Linked DNA regions of Canis lupus familiaris. The protein of the gene in region 1 interacts with the protein of each later gene in a pairwise test. Links are inferred from orthologs where the notes say so. Each region holds a gene or a part of one and is shown in the gene's direction. Other genes may lie near its edges. The genes, in order: YWHAG, EPB41L3, TNFAIP3 and FAM53C.

The links.
Region 2: the proteins of YWHAG (region 1) and EPB41L3 interact in binary tests that used the Homo sapiens proteins (3 or more experiments, as listed by UniProt). The link is inferred for Canis lupus familiaris from reciprocal best matches to the Homo sapiens genes YWHAG and EPB41L3.
Region 3: the proteins of YWHAG (region 1) and TNFAIP3 interact in binary tests that used the Homo sapiens proteins (3 or more experiments, as listed by UniProt). The link is inferred for Canis lupus familiaris from reciprocal best matches to the Homo sapiens genes YWHAG and TNFAIP3.
Region 4: the proteins of YWHAG (region 1) and FAM53C interact in binary tests that used the Homo sapiens proteins (3 or more experiments, as listed by UniProt). The link is inferred for Canis lupus familiaris from reciprocal best matches to the Homo sapiens genes YWHAG and FAM53C.

Annotation. Positions count from the first base shown.
Region 1 is NC_049227.1:7,419,600-7,424,416, reverse strand, and holds the end of YWHAG (14-3-3 protein gamma), read left to right. Parts: intron 1-179; coding exon 180-836; 3' UTR 837-3,609; downstream 3,610-4,817. UniProt on the Homo sapiens protein: Adapter protein implicated in the regulation of a large spectrum of both general and specialized signaling pathways. Binds to a large number of partners, usually by recognition of a phosphoserine or phosphothreonine motif.
Region 2 is NC_049228.1:72,026,720-72,031,621, reverse strand, and holds the start of EPB41L3 (band 4.1-like protein 3), read left to right. Parts: upstream 1-1,420; 5' UTR 1,421-1,572; coding exon 1,573-1,627; intron 1,628-4,902. UniProt on the Homo sapiens protein: Tumor suppressor that inhibits cell proliferation and promotes apoptosis. Modulates the activity of protein arginine N-methyltransferases, including PRMT3 and PRMT5.
Region 3 is NC_049222.1:30,483,134-30,488,100, forward strand, and holds the start of TNFAIP3 (tumor necrosis factor alpha-induced protein 3), read left to right. Parts: upstream 1-1,439; 5' UTR 1,440-1,575; intron 1,576-2,536; exon of another isoform or gene 2,537-4,929; 5' UTR 4,930-4,944; coding exon 4,945-4,967. UniProt on the Homo sapiens protein: Ubiquitin-editing enzyme that contains both ubiquitin ligase and deubiquitinase activities.
Region 4 is NC_049232.1:25,996,468-26,000,923, forward strand, and holds part of FAM53C (protein FAM53C), read left to right. Parts: intron 1-138; coding exon 139-923; intron 924-1,951; coding exon 1,952-2,209; 3' UTR 2,210-2,441; coding exon of another isoform or gene 2,442-2,456; 3' UTR 2,457-4,456.

The DNA of each region.
Region 1 (4,817 bases):
CCTTCTTTGTCATTTGCTGTGTCCCTCCCCTCCCGTGCACCCACACAGCCTCCCTGCTCTTTCTGTCCATCACGTTAGTCACCTGGTGCATCTGTTAGTGTTGTAGTGGCATAAAGATGTGATCAACCCAAGCGACATCATCCAGACCATAACGACTCTTCTTCATTCTCTTCTTATAGGTGACAGAGCTAAATGAGCCACTGTCCAATGAAGAGAGAAACCTCCTGTCTGTGGCCTACAAGAATGTCGTTGGGGCACGTCGTTCTTCCTGGAGGGTCATTAGTAGCATTGAGCAGAAGACATCTGCAGATGGCAATGAGAAGAAGATTGAGATGGTCCGTGCTTACCGTGAAAAAATCGAGAAGGAGCTGGAAGCCGTATGTCAGGATGTGCTGAGCCTGCTGGATAACTACCTGATCAAGAATTGCAGTGAGACCCAGTACGAGAGTAAAGTGTTTTATCTGAAGATGAAAGGGGACTATTACCGCTACCTGGCTGAAGTTGCCACTGGAGAGAAGCGGGCAACCGTCGTGGAGTCCTCTGAGAAGGCCTATAGTGAAGCTCATGAGATTAGCAAGGAGCACATGCAGCCTACTCACCCCATTAGATTAGGCCTGGCTCTTAACTACTCCGTTTTCTACTACGAGATCCAGAATGCCCCGGAGCAAGCCTGCCACTTGGCCAAGACCGCCTTCGATGACGCCATCGCTGAGCTCGACACTCTGAACGAGGACTCCTACAAGGACTCCACTCTCATCATGCAGCTCCTCCGTGACAACCTAACGCTCTGGACAAGCGATCAGCAAGATGACGACGGTGGCGAAGGCAACAATTAAGGCCCCCAGGTGGACTGGCAGCGCCCGCTGATGCTACTACTGCAGTCTTTATTTTTTCCCATGAGCTGGGGGTCGGGTGGGGGAGGGAAAGGGAGGGACGACCTTCCTAGGGAGAAGCCCACGACCTGTCCTGTCTTTGATCGCCTCTTTTGACATTTTTGCCAAAATACCACTAGTGGAAAGTCAGGCTAGCTGTGCTGGTATTGAAATAGCAGCCTCACACTGGCGTATGGACTGTTCTGTAGATGAATGCAGGTGGAGCGGTCTGTCTTTAACTTATTGCTAGAGAATAGGGTTTTAAGACGAAAAGAAAACTGAAACGAGATGGCCCTCATTCAGTAAGTTCTGTGGTTCCAGTAAGGATTTGTGTGTACAGACGCTCTTGTCTTATGTTTTGGGTACTTTCTATCTCATCTATTTTAGCTGTGCATTTTTTTTTCAGGGTGTACTCGACCAGCCATGGACTAATTGAAATCCCAAACTGACAGACTTGGAACATAAGGTGTGTTTATCCTTATGGTTTAGGCCTTGCCAGTTTCCTGAAGTCTTGGATTAGCTGACAGTATTAACACTAAATTGCAGTTTACAGTATTCTCCATTACAGCCATACGTAACATCAAGCCATTGATTGTGTCTTTTTCTTTGCTAGTTATTTTGGTTTTACATCCTTAGTCAGCCTTATCCAGGTTGGTTTTGCTGTTCGCTATCTCCTGGGCCAAAAGGCTTGCCTGAGGAGAATCAAAGCTACCCTAGGTTTTGGTTAATAGGTGCTTGGCAGGTGGCTGTGGGATTTTTGTCCTTCTTTCCTCTTAACTCTCAAATCCACCACAAAAATGATTAATCACTTTAATAGAAACGTTAAACACCACAAAAATAGAGAAAATTCAGGTCTGTATGTCATTTATTGTGTTGATATTTTCAGAGAACTCCTGGTTTTTAAGCTGCCACAGCTCCTTCCTCAGGGATCACGCTGCCATCACTCTTGACTTGAGTGTTCCCCACTGGACCTTCTGCTGGTGGCTCTTTATAGGGTGGAGATGCCATTGAGCTATAGAAGCTGGGCAGTCATCTTGAGGAAGTTTGTGCAGTGTGTGGAAATTCAGGTGCTAGAAGCTTACTGGTAGACAAATCCAAAAGGAAGAGCTCTTCTATTCATAAGCATTCTGTCCAGTTTCGGGAGCCTCATAAGCATGTCTGTTTTTCCTCCCTGAAAACACTCCTTCCCCAGGCAGTTGTTGTAGGAAGATGAACTAAAATCATTATCAGATAATAAATCACTCCTATTTGACCAAGAGTTTTTCTACACATTTTTTTTCTTCTTTTAATGAAAGCATTGAAACGGGAGAATCCTTTCTCTCTAGTGCAGTTGACGCATGCTCTGGAATCCAAGGAAACTACATTGTTGTTTCCACAAATTTGTTCTCAGTTAGCCTTAGGTCCTTCATTCTTGTTTCGGAAAAAATCTGTCTGAAAACATGACCTGTTGAGTGTGTGTTCAGCCTTTTTTACAAGATCAGAAACAGTGTAAACTCCCGAGATCTGGGTTAAGACGCCAGATTTGTTTTGTCTGTTCCTTTGGGTTATTTAGTCAAGGAGGTATGAGTAATAATTGAGGAAACACTGACAGTTGCTTTTGCTGTTTACCAAAATTGAACTTACAGTTGGGAAATGAATACGTTTGACAGGATCCAGGTGACAGTGAAGAATAGAACGATGATGCCCTGTAGCATGGCACAGTTTACCCAGCGTGACTTTCCTTAGAAGGTTCCCTCCATACGCTAGAGCAAAAGTCCCAATTAACTGAACCCTAGCAGAACTAGAAGAGAGCTGTACAGCTTTTGTGCCATCACCGGGGCCTAAAGTAAATGCCATGGATGGGAAATGATTTGGGTGGGGGTGGGGGGGGTTAGGTGGGGCTTTCCTTAACTTATCTTCATGTCCAGTGAGCAGTGTTGTGTCCTTTCTTGTAGCCTTTGGAAATGATTTACTGGAATTACAAAACCTATATTTTCTTTTAAATTTCAGCTTTGGCTCTGGCTGCTTTTTAGAATAATGCAAGATAAAATTATACCTGAGGGCTAAAAATGAGGGAATGGGAAACTTGATATTTAAGCAGCTTGAATGGTTTCTTTTCTTTTCTTTATTTTTAAAGAAATGCACTTGCCTCTGATACTGTCTCTCCAGTGAAATGATTACTCCTCCATTATTCTATTGATACAATATTGTGCATGCTAGTGTTGTATTTCTATACAGTAGCTTGAAATTTATTAACTTATACTGTAGGTGTTATGTATTCCTATGACAAAAAATTAAGTCTTCAAATTTTTTAAAGTTTTTTTAATTTAATTTTTCCTTTTGGGGGTACAGTTTGCTCTACCAAATAGTGATCGTAACAAATTGATCTGTTTTGGATGTTGCTATAGTGACATGCAGTTATATATTTTGTTTTTAAGGGGGGGGGGAAGCAAAAGAAACACCAGTGTTAGCTTAATCTTAATGTCTGGTGTTTGTCATGGTGAAATTATAACTATTACAGTGTAGGAGAACAACGACTATGTTCTCTGAATGAGCCTTTGTGCTTTTTTGTCATGTTATGCAGTGAACTATTTTTAAGGTCTAATCAGTGATTATTTTTCCAACTCCGTGTTTCTCTAAGGAATTATTTCACACACGGACCATTCTTAGCAGTTTTCCTCAGTGATGGAATATCATGAATGTGAGTCATTATGTAGCTGTCGTACATTGAGCAAATAAACTTACAGATCTGATGTCAGTGCTACTTAGTTTTATTTAAATGACTTTAATTTCCCTTTGCTTTCCAAGGGCTGATTGGATGTGCGTGCTTTCTACTCACAGAATGTGGTTAGATTGGGGGCCAGGGACAAGACTGGGAAAGTGCCTGTAAGCTGAGAGTCAGACCTGGGTTTACTGATGTTGAAAAATGATTGTACCTTTTGGGCCTCCAATGTTTTTCCTACAGAAAGGGCACCTTCAGGTGGATCTCTAAAAGCCTTACAGGGGTGGAGGGAGTATGATTTGTGAGAAGAACAGGGCTGAGTTAAATGATGGCTTCTTTTGGTCCTTGGGCAAATTACGAAACTTTTGAGCTTTGGGGTGTAGGTCTAAATGAAAATGGGATCACATGCCCGGCTGTGTCTCTCAGTGAGGCACCCAGTATTGTTGGAGGTCTCATGAAGTCTTAGATGAGGGGGTTCTTTGTGTTGAAAATGTTCATAAATAGTCTTGCGTTTTTAGTCCCTCTGAGGGGGTCAGGCACCTCCAGTTGGTGTGGCCTGAGCTCTTAGTAGTGCTGTTGCAGATGGCAGCTGTTACACTGCTCCCACCACGTGAATCATGTCCCTGGGTGTGGGGGTGTTCTGCTTTCTATAGGAAGGAAGAATGCCAGAGCAAAGGCTTTCTTCCATCAGCTTGGGTGTGTTCCAGCAAAGGGGTAGAGCGAGGCTGCAGGGCATTGAAAGGGGTGTGGCCTTTTAATTTTTTCAATCAGAATTCACATTTTAGGAATAATTTGTGTGACCCAGGGTTTTGCCATGTACTGGATGAATTAACTTCTCTTGGCTAATTTGTCACTCAGGACCACTCTAAGTGCCACTGCTGGCACAGCTGTGAACATAGAGGTGGCTGATGTGCCTAAGTTCCCACAGTGTCAGAGCCCCAGTGTTGGAGCCTCCTGAGCCTTGCCTACAAACACCAGGCTGCTTCAGCTCAGCTAGGAAACTAAGAAACTGAGCAGCAGCCATGTGGTGACAGCTCTTGCAGTTACTGAGGGTAGAGAGACATCAGACAATCTCTTACTCTCTTACCAACAGGACGGTACACACGTGGGCAGCATCAGAGCAGTGATGTAACAAATTCACCAAAGCTCATCAGAAAGAAGGGTGGCTGCTGGAAGTTGCTGATGTTGCACTCTTATTTCTTCTGTGTAACTTCCCATTATTTCTAAGTGCCCGGAATTTGACA
Region 2 (4,902 bases), on another chromosome or scaffold:
GTAACCTTATTCCATTCTTTAGTATTATGAAACTTTTGATTATAGTGGTTTTTAACTTTCTAAAAGAACCTAATATTGTGTGTAATCCTTTGAGACTGTTTATTGAGAAGATTCATCTATGTTGAGATATTCTGTACTACATCTCTTCTGTTCTATTTAATATTCTATTGTGTAAAATATACCATATTTACATCCTATCTTGCTGATGGGCATTTGGGTGTTTTCAGGATTTTACTGTTGTGAAAAGAGCTGTTCAGCATTATTGAACATAACTCTTCACGCACATGTGCAGGAATCTCTCTTGAGTAGGAGTTGAATTAGTGGATTGTAGGGAGTATCAATGTTCAATATTAGGAGATAGTTGCAAATTGTTCTCAAAGGTGGGTGCCCCAATTTTAACTCTCATTGGAATGTGGATCCACCATCTTTCAACTCTTGGAACTGTTAGATTTTTCATGTTTCCTACTTGAATGTGTGTAACATGGTTATTTCATTGGGGTTTTAATTTACCTCGCTCTGACTACTAATGATGCTGAATGCCAGTTCTCATGCTTATTGGCACATGCGTTTGTTCAGCCATGAAATGTGTATTCATATCTTTTGATCGCTTTTATGATAGGTTGCTTGTGATTTGCTTATTTGTTTGCAGAAGATGTCAAGCAAATTACATGATCATTTTGGGACCATTCTTGCATCTGTAAAGTGGGGATGATAATACAGCATTCATAGTGTTGATTTTAGGATTGAATTAATGTTTATGTATGGTACTGTGAATATTGGTACATAACATAATAGATAGTAAAAAAAAAAAAAGTTAGTTCTTACTCCCTACTTAGGCTCGCTTGCTCTGAAGCTATCATTTGGTGGAGTAATTTGTCAGATTTTGCCCCATTTGCTTAGTGGAGAATCTTTGCTTATTGGTATGACCAGTGTGGTCCTGCTAATGTTGTACCTTAGGGAATAAAGCTAGTTAGATGAACTCATACTGTTCGGGAGGAAACATAGAAAAAGAACGTGAAAAGGAAGAACTTCAGTGGGGGTGCTTGGCAAAATGAAGGGAAAAATATCAGTATAATTATTATGTTGGTCTCAACAGCTGTCTGTAGATGTTTGTGTATTAGTATGGCAATCAGGAAAACTAAGGATTAATGAAATATCCATATCCATCATGAAACTGAAAATTCTAGCAAGCCGAAGATTCTCTGATGATGCTTGGGAGCCAGTGGTCAAGAAGCCCTATGCCACTTTAGGCTTTCTGCCTGCCTGCTGCTGGAAGCTACTTCCACAGCACTTTTGAGACTGCTGTGCAGTCACGCGGAAAAGCTACACTGGGGACCAGGGAAGATATTAGAGGAAGAATCTGAAGGGCACCACTAGAGGCCATGCAGTTACTGCTTCCTGTTCCTGCCTTGTCTTTTTGAGTGTTGAATTCAAGGAGAGAACCTGGATATGATAGTAAAAACAATCGCCTCTACCACCCTGCATCTTTGTGTGTCTCACTGAGAATATTCCTGGAGGAATGGAAGCTGGAATGTCAGTGCTCCAGTACTTCTGAAATTGCTGCACTGCAGCATGCCATCTTTCATCTGTCTCTATCTGTGTTCAAAGTCCCTCTTAGGATTTGGAGGTAACGTTTTTGTATTCCTACCATTAAGTATACCTATGACAAGTGACCATTTTTAGTGATGATAACTCTGAATTTGATAAATATTGAAGCAATAGTTTGTGTAAATTCAACCAGGGAAATGTGGAAATAATTTTTTGTGCAGGATGCTTTTTAAAATGTTTGTTCATTCAATGCTATGCTAATGGTTCTTTGGGTTTTTGTTTGTTTTTGTTTTTTTTCTGGTTTGAATGCTCTCCTTTGCAGTTTTTAGGAGGATAATGTGGAATTAAGAACAGATGCAGGTTAGCTACAATGTCATCTCAGCTTTCCCTCTGTCCTTAGTACACATCAGTTTGACCGACCGATTCGTCTGAAATTGTTTGCTCTAAGGACACATGCTTAAGAGTTTGGAAACACCTTTTAGCTGTGATGGCAGCTTCAATTTAAGGAAGTGGTTAAGAGAAAAGTCTGAATGCTCTCCAAAGACAAGAATGCCCTGCACTTATGCTTAGCCTTTGCAATTCACAAATGATCATGTGTTTTCTTTTGTGCCAAGAATTACACAGAAGAATAGTGAAACATAACTGGAATATATTTTGTAAGCAATTGTAAAAACAGCTTCATGAAAACATGAACTTGGATGAGACCTCAGAAGACTGGAGCTGCCCATCAGTCAACCTGGGAACCTATTTCAGGCTCAAGATTCTTATGTATGGCTCCCCCAGTGGCTTTGGTAGGCCTTTTGTCGATCATTGGGAAATGAATTTCAATCATTGGTATTGGAAGTGAGTAATGAGCAAAGTGTGTATACAGACACTGCAGTAAATTCAGAGAGATTTTTCAGTGGGCTCTTGAAACTTTCTGATCTTGATGTTGTTTTACAAAGGGAGTCCCTTGATGTTTGAGAAGGGGCTATTACCTATCTATGTCAGCTGTCTCATTATGAGGGACATGGGGCCCTGGCTGAACAGAAATTCAGCCCCTTTCCAGCCAACTCCTGGGTTGTTCATTTCTCTTCATTCTTTTCTTTTCTGACAGCAACTTTCAAAAATAATACCATTACCCAGGAAATTTTGGTGCGATAGTTTGAGCATTATTCCTATTTTTGTAGTATATTTTCCTTTAAATCTCTAATTCTGAAACATTTCTCACATATTTTCCCCAGTGAATCCAGAAATTTTTGCCAAAAAAAAAAAAATAGTGCAAAAATCTTTCACTATACAAAAAGAACTTTTCATAGTGGAAGGTACAGAGAAAATAAGGATGCCTTAAAAGAGCAGTTTTGCATTACAATGAACCTTGATACAATGTACCTTTTAGTTGCAAATTGGTAAGAAATTATTTGTGCAGAAAGCCAAAATCTTGCGCCAGGATATCGCGTTATCTGTAGTTTTATTCACATTTTATGTGTAAGGACGTTAAAACCTAGAGAGGTTGTGGATTGCTCTAAATTAAATAGGGAATGGCAGATCTAAGAACAGAAACCAGGTGTCTTCACACCAGGCCAAGAGCTTCCCCTACAAACTGCCATCGCTCCTGTGCCGGCAGTGATCTGTCGGAAGCAGTGGGTCCACTTTGGAATCCAGTGGAAGCGCCTAGAGAAGTAATGGTAAAGGCAGGTTCTGAAGTGCTTTTACAAGGTGGACCAAGGAGGATAGAAATAATGTAACAGGCCATACGAGTTGTGTCACCGGTGCTAGATTTGGTGGTTTGCTAAGAGGACTCATGGGATTCTGCATATAGTTGTGCTCCCAGCCAAGATGTATTGCAGTGAAATGACACAAGGCAAACTCAGCAACGGGAGAAGGTGCATGGGGCAACGTCCTGGAAACCCAGCAGGAGCTTCCAAGAGTCTTTTCCCAGGGTAGTCACATAGGATATGCTTCATTCCAACAGCAACAGACTGTGACAACACATGTAAAATGCTGTCTACCTTGGCAGGCTGTTACAGACTCTGCCCAGGATGTTTACTGGGGGCTGGTCAGAGATAGCCTCTACCTCGCACCTAGAAAAACTCCAGGCTTCCAGAAGAAAAGCACATGTGTGGCATGGACCATATTGTTTTCTAGTAAGAGTTTGGGTACAGTGAGCCACCCTCCTCAGTTGAGAAGCATGGGACTCTGCCCCAATCCAAGTTTCCAGACACCAGCCAAGGGTCAACCTTGCAAGGAAGACTTTCTGAGGACAGCATCTCAGGCCTGCTACAGTAACTCTGTTGCACAGGAGCTAGGGTCGTTATGGAACAGCTACAGCAACACTGAAAACAGTTGTTTCAAAGGTTGTATCAGATTCCAACAGAGAGAACTGACAGCAAGAATAAACAGGTGGGAGGTAAGGAATGAGGGAATAGGAAGAGAATTTCAAGTCTGGGAGATGAAATACATGGGAAGGGTGTGTGTGTGTGTGTGTGTGTGTGTGTTTCTCCACCCCCCCCCCCCCCCCCCGGAAAGTTTGATTTAGGACTGTGAATGCAGATAGAATCCAAAGAGTCCAATGCAAAACTAAATAGATTTTGGGAGGAAAAGCATTAAAAAACAATTGGCAGATAGCCCTCTGAGAAAGCTTATTTAGAGGAGCAAACCCCTTTGGGAAGAAAGGTATAAGAAGTAATAGGAGAAAGTTATGGGGAATCACTGCTACCTACTGCAGAAACACACTGGAAGACAAACATGGTCCAAAGAAAAAACCCTACTAAAAAAAAAATGTCAAAAGTTGATTGTAAAACTAGTGCCCCGCCCTAAGGTTTATTTAGGATTATTTAGGAAGAGTGGCTGGATAGGAAGGGGAAACATTCTACATTCTGGGTATATTAAATATGAAATGACAAAGGAATCGAGTTAGAATTTTCTTTTTACCACAAATAAAATACATTCAAGATACTGGTAGATTGCATTAAAAAACCTGATTCTAATATGACATTCACATCTGTGGTACATTCCTTGGTCATGCTTATGGAATTAGAGCAAATCACATAATTAAAGAATTAGTGTTAAGAGGGAATTTTGACTTTGTATTAGCTGTGAAGGACACGCTGTTAAAAGACATAATTTTAACATGAAAATACTATTAATGTTATTAAAAAGTATATACATTAGCAACTTTTTCAAAGGACCTGAACTAGCTTCTACTTACTACTCATTGAAATTAAGTGATTCGTTTTTTTTTTTTTAAGATTCTATTTATCTATTCATGAGAGACACACAGAGAGAGACAGAGACATAGAGGGAGAAGCAGGCTCCCTCCAGGGAGGCCAATGTGGGACTCGATCCCAGGACCCCAGGATGACGCCCTGAGCC
Region 3 (4,967 bases), on another chromosome or scaffold:
AGAAATGCCAGGAGGTTTGGAGTTGTCAAAAGTCCCAGCCATTGGTTTCAAATGGCCAGCACCAGCCTTGGAAGCTTGGCCACTTCTGACTCTCCGCTCTGAGTGTCTCTTTGCCAAAAATGTGCCACCTGGTCCTCATCCAGTCCTCCATCCAGTCTCTGCAGGTCCTTACTGGAGAGGAAAGCATATTTTTCTAATTCCAAAACTGGGATACGAGGCCCAACTAGTATAAGTAAGTCTAGAAGGGGACAATGCACAGAATATTTCAATCTGGTTCTAGTTTAGCTATTCTAAGAAATGCGCCAAGGGGGACTCTTAGCCAGTCAAAGTGCCTGCCTCTCCCTCTGCAATTCAGGCACCTCCACTGTCCAAGTGGCTGACACCTATTTCCACAGGACGTCCTTTGGGTAAAGACTGCGGGTTACCACACTATTTAATAAGGGGTGGGGGTCGTGGGTGGGTAAAATGTATTATCAGCCCTTGACACCTTGGCCTGAACTAATTGTCAGGTCATGAAAAAGAGCTCCTAATAGGGCCTTAGGGGGGCCACGCAAGGACAGTAATAATGGACTAGAAATGATTTCTAAACCGAAATGTTCCTGCGTGCCGAGCCCCCTGGGCACCTGGTGTGCAGGAAGGGAGAAAGGGAAATCAGTAAAGTGCAGAACAGGGCTGATAGTTGCTCTGATTCCCAACTTCACCTAAGATAGGTTTTGCTCCTGCAAATTTCAAGGCTGTGGGGCCTCAGGAGGTCACCCCCAACAGGCCGCCGTCTGGGCGGCAGAACGCTGGGATGGGGACGCACGGAGGGTTGTGAAATCCCCACCGGGGCCCAGAGTAGGGCGCTCCCCGACGAGCTCATCACGTGCACAGCCCTAGCTTTTCCAACCCAGCCCCGAAGGCTGCGGTCCCGGACGCCCGGGTGGTTTTTAGGGTTTTCTTTCTTTATTATTTCCCTTATTGTTCTCCACGGTTGGTGATTTTCTGCAGAAAAACGGCTGAGAAAAAAGAACCTATTTCATTTCCAGTTCCCATCACCGCGATTTCCACATGGATGTGACGTTGGGCCAGCTTCCGAAATGCCCAGGTGACTCACGCGGGGACACCCGGGGGCGGGGCTCAGGAGTTTCTCGCGCGGGGGGGCGGGGCGGGGCGGGGCGGGGCGGGGCGCCGCCGGCCTCCTGCGCCGCCCGCGCCCCCTGCGCCCCCTGCGCCCCCTGGCGGCCGGCGACCGCGGGGCTCGGCGCCGGCCCGGGCGTCACGTGACTGGAAAGTCCCCGGGTGGAAATCCCCGTTCTCCGCCGGCGGTAAAACAGAAAGGGAAAAAGAGAACTGGCAGTCTGCAGTCCTCGCAGCGGGCCGGTGCAGCGCGCTCGGAGCCCGCGGGGGCGGAGCGGTGACAGCAGCCGCCGGGACAAGTGCGGCGGCGGCGGCGGCGGCGGCGGCGGCGGGCGCGAGCCACACAGCCCCGCGGCGAGCGAGCGCCGAGCCCCGGCGTCCATGGGGCGCCTCCTCCGCGCGGCCCGGACCTGACCCGGACTTGGGACTCTGGAAGAGGATCGCGCGGCCGGACAGGTAACCGCCGCGTGCCCGTGCCTCTGCCAGCGGCGTCGCGGGGCCCGGGCTGCGCGGGTGCGTCACCGGCAGCTCCTCGCGGGCGGGAGCTTGTCGGCCCGGGCCCGGCCCGGAGCTCGTCGGCCGTCGGCGCTCACTGCGGGATGTGAAGTGCTGGGAGTCGAGGCGGCCGCGCACGACGCTGGGGTGACAGCTCGGGAGCCCTCCGGCCAGCTGTTCCTTGTAGATGCTGCCAGGAACGTAAGCTGCAGCAGGCGGCTGGAGAGGAGCCCCCGGACGGCCAGGTCGCGTGGTCCTCGGTGCTTTGCCCCTTTGCGTGCCTTTTTTATTTTTCGATCAAGCTCTGGATGCTCGCGGACACGGAGACCTTGCAGAGCCGACCCGCCGTGGCTTCTTCCCGGCGGGTGCAGAGCCAGGCCACCCGCCGGGCGGGGGGGGCGTGGGGGCCCGGGCCAGCCAGCCTGCCCTGGGTCGGCTTGCAGACCCCGCAGCCCAGTGCAGGGAGGCGGGTGGGCGGAGGGCCGGTGCTGAGCTGCTGCAGGCGCCGCAGTGCGCGAGGAGTGTGCATGCTCAAGCGGGACGTTGGCCGGCTTTTCGGGTGCTCCAGTGGACGGCGACCTGGAGGCCCCTGCCCCAGCCCCTACCCCACAGTCAGACGGTCGTTGTCAGCCCGGGTCGTCCCACATCCTGCCACCTGGCCTCTCAGGAAAGCAGTGGTATTAAGTAAGGAAGGAGCTCAGCGCTTTTGAGACCGCTTTGTTTTCAGTTCTCCCCGCCTCTGATCTTCTTTCCTTGGAAAGCTGGTCTGGTCAAGTGTCTCAGGGCAGCCTTTGGGGAGGACCGTGGTTCATCAGTCCCCTGGACCTTAGCACTAGTGTCTGCAGTTGTTACGCAGCCGGTTATAGCTCCATTCCCATCGTCTAAGGTGCTTCTTTGTTTTTTGTTTTTTTTTTTTCTCTTTTTAACAATTCTGTGTACAAGTTTTGGAGTTTAGGAGTGAGAGTTACCAAAAATTCGATGAGGCATTTATTGATTTAAAAAAAAAAAAAAAAAGTCAGTGAGGTGACAAATGTAAAAGAAATGGTAAGGGTGATAGCATATGTCTTTACCTGTAAGGACGTTACAGTTATAGGTCAGGAAAATTTATTCTTTCATCTTAAACGTGGAGAAGTCCGAGAACTGGGAACTTGGCTGGTGGGTTCTAATTCTTTTCAGGAGGCGATCGATTCCACAGTGTGTGCAAGGCTAAAACTATGAATGAGATGACCCAGGGCTATACAGTACTGACATTTGCATGTCTTACATATGGCAAAGAGCGCTTGTGCTATTTGAGGTCTTTGCTGAAAGATCTTTAAATTAGAAGAGATTAAGAGAAGATTCGGAAAACTCAAAAGGCAACACCTAGCTTGTTTCAAATCTTTTTGCTTCCGGCCTCTTCCCGTCTGGCAGCAGCAGGCACAGGGATGGTGTTGTGGGAACTGCAAGGGGCAGGTGTTGGAAGATCTGGCTTCCAGGCAAAGCTGTCTGCCTTGGGTGGTGTGGAACCTGAGCAGGACCCGTGCTTGTGTTGCCATGGCTGTGGACAGGGAATAAGGGCACCTGTGATTTTTAGTCCCAGCATCCAGCATGGCTCTCAGCAGGTGAGCAGGCAGTGCTTTTTAAGCAATGGACAGATGAATGAGTGATTGTGAGACTGGCCATGCCACAAAGTGGAAATGGGTGTAATGTTTTTATTGCTTCATTATGCTTGTGCCCTGCAATAATTTTGCCCAGTTCCACCTTCAGGGAACTGAAGGAAAGATTACCAACTGGCCCAGAGAATAACTTCTCCCAGGCCTCATTGACAATCAGATTTGGAATCCTGGTCCAAAACTATCACCAGAAAACTCCTCAGAAGCAACCTTGGGTCATCTACTTTAACCTCTCTATTTTGGACCACAAGTTTTAAATCACTTCATCAATGGCTTTAAGAGAGCCTAGACCCACCTAGGAATGGCTTCCCTAAAATCTAGGTTTCTTCTCACTCTTACACAGGTTTCAAGTCTTCCTCAACTAGAAGCTTGCCCTGGCAAATAGTATGGTGCAGGAGTGAGATTAGCAATCTCCATGAAACTTCCTAGGGAATGTCTTCATGCTCCAAAACCATCTTTGCCTTCATCTTGGAAACCAAGATGTATGTTGGGGCACCCTGCTAAGGCTTGTGGCTTTCCACACAGCTCCACACTGCAGAGATCCCACGTTGCATCAATTCACAACATCCTACGCTATTGGCATGGGTTGTAGATGCTGGGTTTTGCACCACCCCCCTCCCCCCGCTTCCTTCATTTATCATGAGCATCCCCCTGGCTGAAACATCTTTCCTTGCCCATTTCCAGACTTTTATTTCCTTCTACCAGCAGATTATGTTTCAGGATTCCAGGGTGAAGACAGGGTGGGAAATGCATTTGAGTGTTGGTACCTGGACAATGATAATAAATGTAGTTAAGTTGAAATAATTGAAATCTAATGCCTGCTCTCGGAAGTGTAAAATTTATTCTTGTATTATTATTATTATTATTATTATAATTCTATGTCCTATTCTGATGTTGTGAAGTTCAGTGGAGAGGTTCTGAAAGACTTTATCATTGACCGTTAAAATTGCAAAGCTTCTTACTGGAAATAGGCTTTTTCATTGGTTCTAAGATATTCAGTTTTAACTTTTATAAATATTATAATACATTTTTATAAATAAGCTCTTGATAAATATTTCTCTTCGGGGCTAAAGAGGAAACTCTAATCAGCAGCCTACGTGACAACATAAAATTGTGAGATTTTCCACAAAACATTTATTCTGCAGTGTAGGGTGGGAGGGCTTAAAAGAGATAAATTAAGGCTTTGCCTAAAAGCCAGGGCTGCTCAGCAGTGGTCTTAAGGGAGAAGCTAAGGACTTGTCAGGGCCACCTTGTGCCCGTCACTGGCATTCAGAGCTCCGAAGACCCAGTGGCTGTGTCAGAGTGGCATGCGAATGAGAGGGGAGCTTGTTGGTTATGAGGTGCAGTACCTGTTGCCGACGGATGGGCTTGGCTCCCTGACAGACGTTACTGAAAACACGGGTTATTCCCCTCCTCCTCAATACCCACTCCCCGCCTTCCTTCTCTTGTTTAGACTAATCTTTAAAAGTGATGTAACTTAAAACAGTCCAGTGTGAGTTAATCTCGGGGGCCAGCTAGTATCCTGGAGTAGAGGTGACTAAGATCTTTTGCCTACAGATGAGGCTAATGACAAGATCAAACACTGGGGTTTCCTGCAGGCAGGTATATAGGAGTGGTATCGAAGTCGGGCTAACGGAATGGGTTTTTCTTCCCTCCTCTTCAGGTGTTGCAGAGCACGATGGCTGAACAGCTCCTTCCCCA
Region 4 (4,456 bases), on another chromosome or scaffold:
GACTCCCCGCAGGGAGCCTGCTTCTCCCTCTGCCTGTGTCTCTGCCTCTCTCTATCTCTCTGTGTTTGTCATGAATAAATGAAATCTTAAAAAAAAAAATGCTATCATTAATACTATTTTACTATGAATGCTTTCCAGAAGGTGCTTCCTGGAGGGGCCTGCCCCACTGTTCCTGTGCTGAGTTCCAGGACAGCCTCAACCTCAGCTACCACCCCTCAGGCTTGAGCCTGCACCTCAGACCACCCAGCCCAGGAAGTTCCCCACAGGAGCAGCCCCTCTCCCAAGTCCTAAGCCCTGAGCCCCCAGACCCAGAGAAGCTTCCTGTGCCCCCTGCCCCTCCATCCAAGAGGCACTGCCGCTCACTCTCAGTGCCCGTGGACCTGTCTCGCTGGCAGCCGGTGTGGCGGCCCGCCCCCTCCAAGCTGTGGACTCCCATCAAGCACCGGGGCAGTGGTGGAGGGGGTGGGCCGCAGGTGCCTCACCAGAGCCCCCCAAAGCGGGTCTCCAGCCTCAGGTTCCTCCAAGCTCCCAGTGCCTCTTCTCAATGTGCCCCAGCCCACAGACCCTACAGTCCCCCTTTCTTCAGCCTGGCTCTGGCCCAAGATTCCTCTCGACCCTGTGCCACCTCCCCCCAAAGTGGCTCCTGGGAGAGTGATGCTGAGTCCCTGTCACCCTGCCCACCCCAGCGCCGCTTCTCCCTGTCACCCAGCCTGGGCCCTCAGGCAAGCCGCTTCTTGCCCTCTGCCCGGAGCTCCCCTGCATCCTCCCCAGAGCTGCCCTGGCGACCTCGAGGCCTCCGCAATCTTCCCCGAAGCCGCTCACAGCCCTGTGATCTGGATGCCCGCAAAGCTGGAGTCAAGCGGCGCCATGAGGAGGACCCCCGGCGGCTGCGGCCTTCTTTGGACTTTGACAAGATGAATCAGGTGGGACCAGCAGAACTAGGGAAGCTTGGTTGGGAGGAGGGAGACTTGCATTTTCACGGAGAGCCATCCTCGAGCTCCATGTACAACTGGCAGGTTCCTTTCTAATTTAAAAAAAATTTTTTTTTAAGTTTGAGTAGGCAACACAGGGCTTGAACTCAGGACCCTAAGATCAAGGCCTGAGCTCAGATCAAGAGTATAACGTTAACTGACTGAGCTTTCACCAGGGTGATTTACCGTCCTAGTTGCCCAGGACTATACCCAATTTAGTACTCAAGGTCTCATGTCCTGTGTCACTCCTTGGGCCTGGGGGTTCTAAAGAAATTGAGATGAGACCCATGTTAAATCTTCCAACAGGGATTCCCAATTGTTCTGCCAAGGGCACTTTCCTTGCACTCTGAGGATGCATAAGCAATACAAGTCCCATCATTAGTGCCCTGCCCCTTCTTGACCTCAGGGCTCGTTTGCCACTTGTCCTTCACAGCTTCCCCTGGGTCTGTGAGGGCTTCGCAGAATGGGTTGCTGCATCATTCATGTACAGCAAACACATTTTGACTTCCCAGTGTGAATACGGCTGTTGTATGCACTTGCCGACTCTTCATATTCTTCCTTCTAGTCTCCTGGGTCACAAACCTCTTTGAGAATCTACCTGCTTATTCATCGTGTCATTCCTCCAACGAGTCAGCAAATGTTACTGAATACCTGCCATGTACCAGGTTGTGACTAGGCACTCACAGTATTGTAAAACATCCAGAAAATGTTCTGCCCACATGAAGCTTATAAATGAGCTCCTAATTTTGAATGTGATAGAAATTATGAGCTATTTCCTCAAAGAATTTGGAAAAATTAAAAATTTTCCAAATGTTATCTGGGAGTTCACATACCTCACCCTAAAGCCTACAACTCCTGCCTGCAAGGGTAACCAGGAAGGACACTTGGAAATCCAGCTTGGGCCAGGGTTCTGTGGAAGTTGGTATCTTTTTTTTTTTTTTTTTTTTTTTGCATTCTTAACTTTGTTGTTTGTTTGACAGAAACCATACTCAGGAGGTCTCTGTCTCCAAGAAGCAGCCCGGGAAGGCAGCAGCATCTCTCCACCGTGGTTCATGGCCTGTAGCCCCCCGCACCTCTCTGCTTCCTGCAGCCCCGTTGGGGGTTCCTCCCAGGTGCTGAGTGAAAGCGAAGAGGAGGAGGAGGGGGCCGTGCGGTGGGGGCGGCAGGCACTGAGCAAGCGGACACTGTGCCAGCAGGACTTTGGGGACCTGGACTTGAATCTAATTGAGGAGAACTAAAACTGAGAGGCTACTTCCTGGGGCCACACAGACTGACTCTCTCTGGCTACTAACAAGTGTCGAGGCCCCAAGGCCAGGGGCCCAGCCTGGGAATGGGGGTGAGTGGAGGGCTCCGACTCAGGGCAGCCTGAAATCTTCTTGCTCCAGGAAGCTCGACCATGCCAAGAGACTGGCCGGGACAAGATTAACGGAGCTGGTGGCGGGAGGGACAGCCCCAGAGCAGACCCTTCCCATGGCGGCCCTGAGTGTGAGTATCCCTGCCACCGAGAAAGCAGTGGGCAGGGAAGGAAGGGGTCTGCTGACCCCAGCTCGGGGAATTTCACTAGCCCCTTTGCTTCAAAGGGCACTTGTGTCTTAGAATTTGGCCAGGGTGGGGGGTTCATTCAGCCTCCTCGGAGAAATTGTGTGAGAGTGTGTGCGTGCATGGGAGTATACTTGGGGAAAGGTGTGTTTGCGTAGCCTTAGGGAAGGAAGGCAGTTGCTCCTTAACAGCAGAGCATCATGATACCCCCAGGATCTTGAATTTTCACAGGACAGCAGGCTTACTCAAGGAGTCAAGAGGATAGCACCAAGTTTTTCTTTTTTTCTAAGTAGCTCTGGAACCAGGCTTATAATCCATAAGCACCACTGGCTCTGCAGAGGATTCTCTTTTGGGGTATGGCAGGGTCTTTAAGAGCTGTGACCTCAGCTAATGGTCTTTTTCTTAGGCCCATCCCCTCCCCTAGACAGATCTAATATTAGGACTGGAGAAGGCTCTTTACATTGATTCTGAGCTGGCCTTTTTTCCTCATCAGATTGCCTAGGCTATATACAGCCTTTGTCTCTTAAGTAGATGTAAGTGCATGTCGGCAACTGAGGCAGAGTTAGAGGGGTCCATCTTTCTCTTTCCCTCTCTATTGATGGGACGTTTTCCCCCTCACTGTCTGAATTTCAAGGGTCAAGAACATGGAGGGGAGGCTCTGTATTGGTCCTTATCATCTGAGGCCCACCTGCAGCAGAATTGGCAGTCAAGTTGACTTACTTTGTCAAGTAAGCATGGGTAAGCTCATCCCAGCACTGCCCTTTGGAAGCAGACTTTAGGAAACCTGTTGTTAGAAGATCCAGGTCTAACCTCTTTTCTGACTTGCTTGAGAAAGAGGAAGAGGATGTCAGCTTTTACCAGTTTGCTTGTCTTCCATTCCTGCCAGGAAATGTTTATTTGCCTCTAATTGGACCTGAGAGACATCAGTGAGGTTGGGGCTCAGTGAGGGTTGGCTGAGGATGTGTAAAGCAAAGGCTACGAGAAGCAGCTGGGAGTTTGTTGTTGGGTTGAATTTCCTTTTTGTTTGTTTCTCACCCGTAACTTGAGCCGGGGCAGCAGGTCCCGGTGGCTGCAATGATGGGTTTAATGGCTGCCGGACCCTTGGTAGGACTGGCACCAGTGGAGATACATACTGACGTGGCTGCCAAGTAGCTTGTGAGGCTTTGTCCAGCTTTGGTTAGACGCTGCACAACTGAATTGGACCCGCCCTTCCTGTTTATTGGAGGAAGGGCATTCTCATCGATCCTCCAGGGTGTCTTAGGATCCAGTTTCTCATGTTAGGGAAGAAGACCAAAGTCCACATGTTTTCTTCCTCCTGGAATTGAACCTGTCATTTTCTTGGTTTCCCACATGTCAGATAGGAGTGTCACCAAGCCTGCAGTCTCCTCACTTCCACTCCAGAGGAGGTGGCCATTTCTTCTTGAGCCTCTGGCTCTAGAGGTTCTACCCTTCCGGGGCTTTCCTCCTCTGCTCGTTACCATGTATTACCAGTGAGCTCCCAGGTCTGTAGAGGCCTGAGAGAGGCTCTCTGGAGAATCCAGGGAATCTGTGAGCCCAGGAGGTGCCCATCCTTGGTTTCATCCCTCCCTTGGCTCTTCTCCTTCTTTAGGCCATAATTTCCCTGATGCCAGCTTCTTTTTCTCCTGGGGCATCCTTATCCCTGGGCTCTCTGCTGCATATTGGCCATGCCAGCTTCCAGTAGGCCACTGGCAAGACCAGTGCGGTCTCTGCAAGCTCCAAGCTGAAGAAGTAAGGGCAGTAATTCTGCCTCTACCCTGGCTTCCCCAAAGCCCTAGGGGTGCGATCCTTAGGGGAGAGGGTCTACAGAGAGTCTATTTGAATTCTATCACTGTAAGATCTGGAAAGTTAAATTAGTTGAAACTGTCATCCTGCTTCCCAATCTAAGCGCCCATGACCCTGGGACAGGCCTTTTTAAGAAGTGGTTC